Oryctolagus cuniculus: one gene and its partner. The protein of the gene in region 1 binds, or shares a complex with, the protein of each later gene. Links are inferred from orthologs where the notes say so. Each region holds a gene or a part of one and is shown on either strand. Other genes may lie near its edges.

Region 1 (5,396 bases):
CCAAATCACTAATGCATATTTTAGTACTAACAAAAGGTTCTTTTAGGACAAACAATAAAGTATACATATGCCCTTCCCCTTAAAGATTCTTTTACAAATACAACAAGCAGGTGTTTCTATTTACTTTCTAAATCAAATTACAGTGTCAGAAACAAAGTTTACTACAGAATCTGAGTAAAAATGAAAATCAGTTTTTGTTTCTTTAATCTCCAGGATTCATGCAATTACACATCAATTTGTGAGTAATGCTTGCTTTTCTCTTTTCCAGTTACTACCTGCCTTAGATTTAAGGTACTATCCATAAAAGACTTCCAGAGATGTGCCAGAGAAAGTTAAGGAGTAACAGAAATATTTTATTTACCATCTGTGATGTCTCACATTTTGTCAGAACCTGGCAGCATGTCTCAGATATCCCTAAGATGACTACTTACCCACAGGAAACTACAAGAAATATATCCCTTTTATTTTTAATAAAACATTATCATTCCTAAATTAGGAAACACAGGCTCACTGAAACAAGCAAAGCAATACTTGCATACATCAGTGGTTTTACATGGTCTCTTCATTGCTCCTTTCCCTTCCAGCTAGCTCAGGAAGCCCCGGCCTGAAACCTCTCCCTCCACCCCTGTGCATTGCGGGCCTTGCTGTCCTGCACCTTTGGGGCGCATGGCCCTCAGGCCACCCACCCCATGCTTCCTGGCCCTCCATGCTCTTCCACATGGCTGGCTCCTGGTACTTGGTATGAACCCAGATTTCCCTCTCTCTTTTAGATAGGGCCCTCACTCTCCTATACATTTCTCTCACTGAATAAAAAGCTTAAAACTTAAAAAAAAAAAAAAAAAAAAAAAAAAAAAAAAAAAAAAAAGAGACTATCTCAGAATTTAGTCAACCATTCAACATTCCAGTTGTTTATTTTGTCTCACAAACACTGAATCAATGAACATCCAAATAAATAAAAAGTGCTGTTGTATGTTATCTGCAAGATAATTTCTTGGAAAAGGAACTGCTGGATCAAGGTGCTATATTTTTGATATTAACAGATCAATTTCACATACAGTTCTACCAATTCACATTCAAAATAAACGTGTATGAATAAAATCTATTTCTAAAATCTATTTCCAGTAGTTGTGCTATTCCTCTAATTTCTATTCCTGTTGTCAAGAACTGATTTGATTAAAGCAACATAATAGGTAGAAAGCAAATGTTTTCTGACCCTTTCCCATCCTTTTTCCAAATTTTCTTGGCTAGTCTTGTACATCATGAATTCTGCCATATGAACTTTAAAATCATGAGGTCTGGTACCTCACCCTCTAGAAAATGTCATTAGAATTCTTTACCTATTTCTTTGTATGTTTATGTACACATACCGTAAAAACATATTTATGAGACACATAAGAGAAATAACATCTTTCTGACATTAAGTTCCATCTATGAATATAACATTAGTATCCATTCATACAGGTCTTATTCTATGTCTATCAAAAAAGTTTTAATGTCTACATAGTAAGTATTGAGAAAACACTTACTACACAAATAATCATACAGGTAATAAAGCAGATACTCTGAAATAAAATGCACAGTTTTATTTTATGAAAGCAATAAACTGCTGGCACTACGACACAGCGGGTAAAGCTGCCACCTGCAGTGCCGGCATCCCATATGGGCGCCGGTTCCAGTCCCGGCTGCTCTTCTTCCAATCCAGCTCTCTGCTGTGGCCTGGGTTAGCAGTGGAGGATGGCCCAAGTCCTTGGGCCCCTGCACCCACGTGGGAGACCTAGAGGAAGCTCCTGGCTCCTGGCTTCAGATAGGCACAGCTCCGGCCGGCCATTGCAGCCAATTGGGGAATGAACCAGCGGATGGAAGACCTCTCTCTCTGCCTCTCCTCTCTCTAACTCTGACTTTCAAATAAATAAATAAATCTTTAAAAAAGAAAAGAAGCTAAAGCCAACAGGGAAATTAAAGAAAAAAAACTTGAAAGTCTCACTTTCTAGTTATCTTGTGCAGGGGTTGAAATTTGACTCAAAGTGGAAAATATATCAATGTTTTTTTAGGCCTTCACATTTAGATATGGATAACTATTCCAATTTGATTTTTCAGGTAATGAAGAAAGCTGCTAGTAATTTTAACCCCTGACTAAAGAAAATAATTTCATTTTGGCACAAATACTTATTGCCTTGAAAAACAGCACTATCACAGCCTATGTTGTAGAATAACCTGTATCCCTTTCCAACTATACAAATTCTTAAATAAGTATAAATTGGAATTCAATTAAAGATAGTTGATTATATTGCAATCAGATGGCATTCACAAACTTAACTGGATCATATACAAATAATATCTATTAGTAAGAGTTTTCTTATGCTAATAGAAAAATGTAATTTAGCTACCTAGTCTAAAAATGGTGAATATTATTAATATTGTATAATAGAACTGGGAAGACTATACTCTTTTGAAGAGATTAAGGATTTTCACAATTTTCATCAGATTTTACTATTTTGGTCAAATTTCTAGGTATTTAATTTGTAAAAGTTTGCTGTGTACTGGCCTACAGAAACTAGGGTATTGATTTTAAACTTTTGAAGCCAAGTGATCAAGTACATTTGTAATAAAAGTCAATGGATCGAAAAAAAGAAAGAAAAGGATGGCTGAAGTGTGGGGTAGGCAGGCAACCACGGAACACTTGATTTTCTAAATATCATCTTTGTTACAAAATTGGTCCTACATCATTCTACCTACTGGAGAATTGAAGCTCATCCAGTTTTGAATGAATGGATTAGCCATGTCTAGCCTCATCGCATGAAGAATTGCCCAATATCAAAAACCCAAAATTCATACTCTTTAATAAATTGTTACAAGAAGCTATGTTTAAATGAAGAAATAGTTGAGTTTTAAAAATGTTTAATTCTGGCCGGCACCGCGGCTCACTAGGCTAATCCTCCGCCTTGCGGCACCAGCACACCGGGTTCTAGTCCCAGTCGGGGCGCCGGATTCTGTCCCGGTTGCCCCTCTTCCAGGCCAGCTCTCTGCTGTGACCAGGGAGTGCAGTGGAGGATGGCCCAAGTGCTTGGGCCCTGCACCCCATGGGAGACCAGGAGAAGTACCTGGCTCCTGGCTTCGGATCAGCGCAGTGCGCCGGCCGCGGCGGCCATTGGAGGGTGAACCAACGGCAAAGGAAGACCCTTTCTCTCTCTCTCTCACTGTCCACTCTGTCAAAAAAAAAAAAAAAAAAAAAAAAAAAGTTTAATTCTGATGCAGAAAAAGGAGTGAAAATGAAGAGTATGTACAAAGCCTCATGAACAATGAAAGATATTTCTGTCAGCCAATCAAAATGTAGCTGAAACTTCAGTGACTGTTTCACGCTCTGAAAGAAGCCATTGCTAACGTAACATGTGGGCTGCGTCATGACCATTTGACATCTACGGCTGTCAAGTCAGAGCTTGACGGCTGCAACAACGTAGACTGACAGATTCCCCTTCGATCCACAGGGCAACCAGGGTTACTTCCTCCTATACTGCTCCTCTATTTGCCCTTGTGGATCGCACAATTATTTTCCCCATGGTATGCACTTATGCATGTCCAAAAGGATAAACACTCACCTTATAGATTACTACCAGTTCAATTTAAACAGAAATGAAGTACCTCTGACAGGCTGTACTGAATTACAGTTATAATAAAACTTTACAATTTGTTTTTCCAAAATATTTTCAAGATGAAAAGAACCTCCTTTTAAAAGCCTTACATAGGATAAACTGAAATGCTAAACAAACAAACAAACCTCTTACCGGCTTCTTTGGCAGTGGAATACTGTAAGGTGCAGAACCAAGAACCATTTCAAAGAGTTTGTCTGAGTAAGGTATGGTTTTCTCTACACTTTCTCGGAAATGGGAATCCCATTTTGCATAAAGAATAGTGCCACCAATACCTCCACCAACAAACAAAAGGCCAGCTCCAGCAATTTTGCCAGCAGTCAACCTATATCAAAGAAATGGGGAACACATTTATATTTCTTGGCTTTCCTGTATCTATTCTCCAACTTAGGAGAATCAAAGAACTCTGATCTGTAACATCTACTTCTCTACCACTGATCCAGATCACAGCAGCCAAGTTTACTACCACAGTAGCACATCATATTTTTCTGATTTTTCAACAAGTCTGCAACAAAAAACTCCTAACATATAGGGATAACTAAATTTTTTTAGAATACAGTATCTAAGGGAGAAAGAATGAAGCAATCTATCCTTCAACACTTAAAACTCTAGATATTCAAATTATGCAATTTCCTTTAAACTCAAAAAAAAAAAAAAAAAACTACCATGACCTTTTAAGGCTCCTCTCCCTTAATTATATATTGTAAATACAATAAAATTAATCCTTTACAAAAGATCATAAAATATCAAACAGAACACTTTTTCAAGCTACAATATGCTGAGTTCTGCATATAAATCTATTTGCCATGGAACAGAAGATGGCACATGGGAAGGGGCAGCATCTCCACTGGATGCTGATTATCAAAAAACCAAAAGGCATCATAAAAATTTTTCACCCAGAAATACAACAGTGCTCCAGAAGGTCCCTCCAAAGATACCACAGCAAAACTCTAGAGTATATACTTCTTATTAAAAGGTTTTAGGCAGCTATTCCGATATTCCAGGAAAACACACATACACATACACACGCACACACACACAGTCAAAAGCCGAGACATACTACATACCCAGAACTGCCTGAAGTTGAGTATCTTCGGCATGGTCGTAATGGACGGAGGACAAATTTCCCGCAGAGACAACTCTAAAGGAGAAAAAAACATTGCAACCGATAGAGTTAAGAAATGTGGGGCATTTTTAGAGTTGGTAAGGCAGAAACAATACCTTTATTTTAAATGTCTTCAGTAAACAAAAATTTTATTTTCAGAAATCAAAGTCAAGAGACATTTATATTCTTAGAAATGAAACAGTGATGCTTCCTGCACCAAGACTCCTATTAGTAATATTTTTTAAAAAGAATTATGAGACTATGACCAATCAATATTTTTAAGTGCCATGTATGCTAACTATTGCTCAAATACAACTGGGATTTGCCACATGCTTTAACTAGCAAGAAAAAAACAACAGTATAAAATGTCTATTTTACTTAATTTAGATATCTGAAAAATTAGAGTCCAATTAAATACAAAGCATTATAGGCTATATACACATCCATTCATGCAAAAGTTCCAATCTCAGCTTAACTTATCAAAAACCCAAAGTTCCCACCTCTAAGCTAACTTTGTAGACAGTCAATTCCTAGAGGCATTCATCTAAATCTACAAAGTTCATTCTTGGTTAATTCTAGTATATGTATCATTAAACCAAAAGCCAACAGAAAAAAAATATTACCAGATGTGGTAAATGTTCAGA
Region 2 (5,396 bases), on another chromosome or scaffold:
GCAGGCAGACCAGTCAGTCACAAGTGCAGCTCTGCCCGAGTGGGCGTTTGAGGCTGGCGGGGAAATCTGAGCAAAGCACAGACTGGAGGTCCTGCTGCCTCCGGAGTGTGCCCATGCTCACTGCCTCCGGCTCCCAGGGACAGAGGAGGCTCAGTCTTGGGGCCACAGAGCAGCAAGGCCCTCAGCGTCACCGGGTTCAAGCTTTCAATTTGTCAAAGAAGAAAACCAGAGCCCAGGTCACCATGACCGGATGAGGGTGGCAGCACCGGCTTTTTCCATCAGCCGCATGTTCCCTGCAGGGAACATGACAGAACATTCTGGAAGAATCCAGTCAAGCTTTCTGTCCCTTCCTGTTTAATAGCAGCACTTGCGGGGGAAACGCTGAAGTGCTCAGAGTCACTGCCCCCAAAAAGCAGCCAGATCCCACAGGGCAATAGTGGGGTGGGGAGTGGGGAGTAGTTGGAGTGTGTATGGGGGGAGGTGTCCAGGGGGCAGAGACCCTGCAGATCTGGAAACAAGCCCTTCCCCCCCAACTCAGGTGCAGTAAGACAGAATGGGAACCTCCCACCCCAGGTGCAGCAGACTTTTCATGGTAAGAAGAGGTGATCCCATCGTGGGGAGCTTAAAAAAGTCCTAAGGCTGAGCAGATATGAGAGATTACAAAAGACATGGACGTCTGTATCAATTTCTGCTCTTCGTTTTTAAATGCTTTATCTCACAGAGCTGGCCGGCAGCTCTTAAGCCTTAGAAATAATAATTAGAGCAATTTAATGTCTCTTTATCCTTATGAAGAACACGTAACTTAATATACTGGAAATAATAGTCTCAATGTTTCATGTCAACCCATGAGGAATTGTTTAAGAAGAGCCGGAGACTGATGAGCCTAAGTGGATGAATAAGAAGAAAGGGAAAGTTAGGCTGAGGGACATCCGGAGACCTTCCTATCAGTGAGGTGCGTTCGTCTGCAGGACAGTGCCCGCGGCAGCAGTGGACGCTCCGCTTACGGGCCGTGGGAGCGGAGCGGCCTTGGTGACTGGGACTGTCCCTCGTCAGAAAGGCACCCCAGGACATCATTGGGGACTCGTCTAGCCTGTTCTCTGGGTCTGACCGGAAGCCTGAGAAGAGGAGGTGGCCCTCCAGGAAAAGCCAAGATGGGCAGTGAAGGCCACGTAACTGCCTAGTCTCTTCTACCAAGGGGGCAGAGTTGGGGGGCACGAGGTCAGATGAACTCCACACGCAGCAAGGGGGCAATGTGGCATGGGAGGACCGCAAGTGGCTGTTTCGCGAGCCATGCCGGTGTGATCTTCCAGGGGGCAGCGCTCACCTGCCCCTCCGATCCCGGGCCCCACCATCCCACGCCCGTCTGAGACCTTGAGACTCCACGGCGGCTTCCCCAGCGCTCTCTCCCTGGCAGGCATCTGCCTCTCCCGTTCCCTCACTGCACTGCTCCTCTGACCGTGAACGGCGGGTGTCCCCTTCCACCCACACCCACCGCCACACCAGACACCACTTAGTCTACGTTGACACTGTGCTTTGTTTTGCTTTGATGACAAGGTGCATCTCGGTCTGGCTGTTAAATTCACTGCCACGACTCTCCTGAGTTTCCATGCTCTCAACTGTGAAATGGTAAAAGTAAAACCACCTCTTATTTACATCTCAGGTTGTCATAAGAAACAGGTAAGAGAGCGGGTGTGAAATGACCTTGAAATCTTAAGAACTGCAGAAAAATAAAGCACTGCTGTTTCTTGGTTCTTGCTCATTTCAATGTCGCCTGTCTTAGGATTGAGGTTTTGTGGACTCATGTTTTTAATATTTCCTTGTATGACACATTTCCTAATAACTGAATTTAAGAGCTGGGAAAACAAATACCCCACATACACTAGCCAAAATTTACTGAGAAATTACTGGGGAGGGAGGGGGAGGAAGGAGGGTGATTTGGAATCATTTGCAATCATTTGATGCTTCTGGCTGATCTGTTTAGTTTCGGTATAAAGGAATGCAGCTCAGGAAGGAAGGTAAAAAATAAATGCTTTATATAAATGCAATCATCCCAGCATTCCCATTAAACCCAGAGAACAAGGCTCTAATGCACCACCTAACACTGACTTTGTCACAAGTTACCTTTATCTTATTCTGGAAATGCATGCCACCGGCCAACCTCACCAGGCTATGTGAAAATAATGCAACACACCCTATGCAGGCGGGATGGGCTCAATACTCCAAATCACACTGGGGAAACAGGCACGTACGGCAGACACCAGCGGTGGACCGCCCTATGTCACGGCCTTCTTCTTTCTACTGGTTCACTACTCAGTCCCGCCTCAATAAGGCGCTGCTATTAAGTGAGGAAAAGCCCACGGTTATGGGTATTAACGTGGAGAGTTGAGGCCGATCAAAAGCTGCTTGACAAATAAAACACACTCACTTTCCATTAACAACGTTACTTCTCTGAAAGGCCTATAAAGAAAAGAATCCCTGACGTACTACTGAGAGTTATCCAAGTGCTGATGCAAGTGAGGACAGAAAAAAAGCCATGGGCCAGGAGGCCTTTTAAAAAATAACGCAAACTTTTCATCAATCCTGAGGGTGTTTTTCCCCCCGCTAGTGTCACTGCTATTTTTTTGGTATCCAGACAATACCACTCCTCCCACCAGATGGTTATGAGGTGTTAGGAATTTACACTGAGTGGCGTGATTACAACTACAGCGGATTAGAGTGCATAAAGGCTCGCTCTGTGACTTAGATGCTGGGTTGAGTGGGGTTAGGAGGTCAATGCTAGGGAGTTTGTCGGCAGAGAGAAGCAAGGTTTCCAGCCATTTCCATCCGACGGTTACAGCAGTTAAAGGCCAGGCAATTACGTGACCTACCGGAATGGGGACAATTTGCTTTAGGGTTTATCACTAGTTTTCTGAAGTGCATAAATTAGAGAAAATGCAAATCCTGGGAACATTCTATTGTTCTGATATGGAGGGTGAAGAGAAGAACGTGGCTATGGCGTAGCAAAGCAATGGGAATTCTCGCCCAAATCCTGTTTCTGTCGTCCCTTTTCCTGGACAACTGAGAGGACTTCTAACAAGGGGTGCCATGATTGCATGGTGATCGGATGGTGCATTGCATTCCCTGTTTTTTAAGACCAGCTGCCCTGTAAGTAGACCTGCTGTTCATGGGCCCAAAGCTGTAGGCCTCTTAATTTATAGCCTTCCTCTCTGCTGGCTTTGAATACTGGCTTGCAAGTATGAGGCAATGCCCTCGAGAACACAATTAGTTGAGGACGAATGTGCAGGGCGAGTGGGGAGAAGTGTCAGTTTAAGAGTCTCTTTGTTGCACAAGTGAGCTAGCTGAACACGAGGAGAATGCGCGTGGCAGCTCTGACCCAGCCAGCTCAGGACCGCCATTCTTGATGAGGACCACCTGAGTTTACCCAGCCTTTCCCCACACACATTAGCCCAGGGCATCCTCCCCTGTGCCCTGAGCCGCTGGGCTTTCCACTCCACCGGAGCCCAGCCAGCCCCCGGCTGGCACACTCACCTGTTTGGCATGATTCACACAGTGCATGTACTGGTTGGCCAGAGCAGAGCAGCTGAGGGTCTGGTGGGTGTTCTGGCGGTAACACTGGAGAATCCTCGCCTGCAGGTCAGCACACACTGGATGATACTCGTACCGCCTAAGGACAAAGACAGGGACCACTGAGACACGTGGCCTCCACTCAGGATACACGGAGTTACAGAATACAGCAAATGTTAAAGAACATCTCAATGTGGCCAAGTGCAGAAAAAGATTCAATCATTTTCCTTAGAACTTTAAGGAAAGATATTCAAATTATTCCCATGATAAAAAACGTATACAAGGTAAATGAATTCTATGAAATGAGCTCCATCAACACAAGTCTCCCTGGGATGCTAGAACCTTCGCTTTTAAATCCACACCCAAACCTATGAATGGCGCCAGGACTCTTCGGCCTGGTCATCTGAGCCAGCAACGTGCAAGCTGTAACTTCTCTCTTCCATCTGCAGGTGCAGCTTTCAAATAAGATACAAGGTCAACAGACCCGGTTCCTCCCAAACAGGTCCCTGCCGCCTCTTTACCCGTCACTCCCCAGCCAGAGGTAGGGCCAGACCCTCAAGCCAGAAGTCTCCCCAAAGAAACATCAATTTGAGTGGACGGTCACGTTCCCAGTCGGCACACTGCTGCAGCCTGGAAAAGTACGTTCAGGGTGGAGCCTTCTCTTCGTGTCTGCTCAGGCCGCTCTGGCCCACAAACGCTTAGCAGGCCTCTAAGCCTGGGAAACACCGACCCATATTTCAACACCACGCTCCAGCCTAACCTGTGTATAGATTCCATTAGCTCTTCCCTCCCTGCGAGGGTCTACCATACCCTTTTGGGTGACCCCACGGATCCCGTATTAACTTCTCTCGGCAAACACATAACCCCAAGCACACTGCTGTCCAGCAGAATTCGCTAGCCTATGTAAGAAGGACCCTGTCTTCTTTCCTTTGTGTCCTAAGCCCTTAGATATGGATCCTCCCCACACAAGTCAGACAATAAATGTGTTGAATGAATACAAATGAGTGGCAAGAAAACATTTTAAAATTCCCAGAGTTAAAAATTTTGCCAATTGTACTTAAAAATCTCAGATTTTTAGATTGCTCTCAGTGAATATGATATTCCAAAGATAAATGGTTCCATAATGCTTATAATGTCCACTTGAAAAATCACAATAGCAACATAAACCAAATCAATTAGACAAGGGAAAAAAATTTCTTTGCTAAAATGGCAGGGGAACTTGGCTTATAAGGACCAAATACACACAGAGAAAACACATGCTATCCTTTTTCATCTAGGAATTCATATTTGTTAAAAATTAGTTTTTTAATGCAAGAATCTTCCTTCTTATCAGTTCTTTTTCTGAAATTTAAATTTGTTATTTCCATAGTAATCTTGAAATAGCATTCTTTTCCATTTAATGGGTTCTAGGAAAGCCCTGGAGAACCTGGGCAACTATTTCCCATCAATAAGGAAACCCTTGGGTGACGATTTGTCTCCTCATTACTTTTATCCAACACACTAAGCTAATGTATATTTTGCGAGAATAGAAATGCAAAGTAAGATACCAGTCCCTGAGGGAATTTACTTCCTACTACCCTCAGAAAGCAGAATACGGGGAGGGGCCGGGGAATAGTCCTACAAATTTTACCTAACATTGCCTTTACTTTTTCATTCATTACCTTACCACTTTGTCAAATACCTAAGGAGAGAATTTAAATCCAAGCCCAGGAGTTTCAATTCTTTTTAAGATTTCCAAGTTCAGATATCTGGGACTTTTTCTGGCCACAGATTTCCCTAATCCCCTCTGATGAACATCAGCATTTAAAAGGAGCCAGCTGTGCTGCGAGGGG

Evidence for each region.
Region 2: IMMT (region 1) and CHCHD3 share a complex: the UniProt entries of both Homo sapiens proteins name them as parts of the mitochondrial contact site and cristae organizing system (MICOS) complex. The link is inferred for Oryctolagus cuniculus from reciprocal best matches to the Homo sapiens genes IMMT and CHCHD3.

What each region holds. Positions count from the first base shown.
Region 1 is NC_091433.1:116,578,601-116,583,996, reverse strand, and holds part of IMMT (MICOS complex subunit MIC60), read right to left. Parts: intron 4,789-5,396; coding exon 4,715-4,788; intron 3,973-4,714; coding exon 3,783-3,972; intron 1-3,782. UniProt on the Homo sapiens protein: Component of the MICOS complex, a large protein complex of the mitochondrial inner membrane that plays crucial roles in the maintenance of crista junctions, inner membrane architecture, and formation of contact sites to the outer membrane.
Region 2 is NC_091434.1:168,673,367-168,678,762, forward strand, and holds part of CHCHD3 (MICOS complex subunit MIC19), read right to left. Parts: exon of another isoform or gene 3,665-5,396; coding exon 3,529-3,664; intron 1-3,528. UniProt on the Homo sapiens protein: Component of the MICOS complex, a large protein complex of the mitochondrial inner membrane that plays crucial roles in the maintenance of crista junctions, inner membrane architecture, and formation of contact sites to the outer membrane.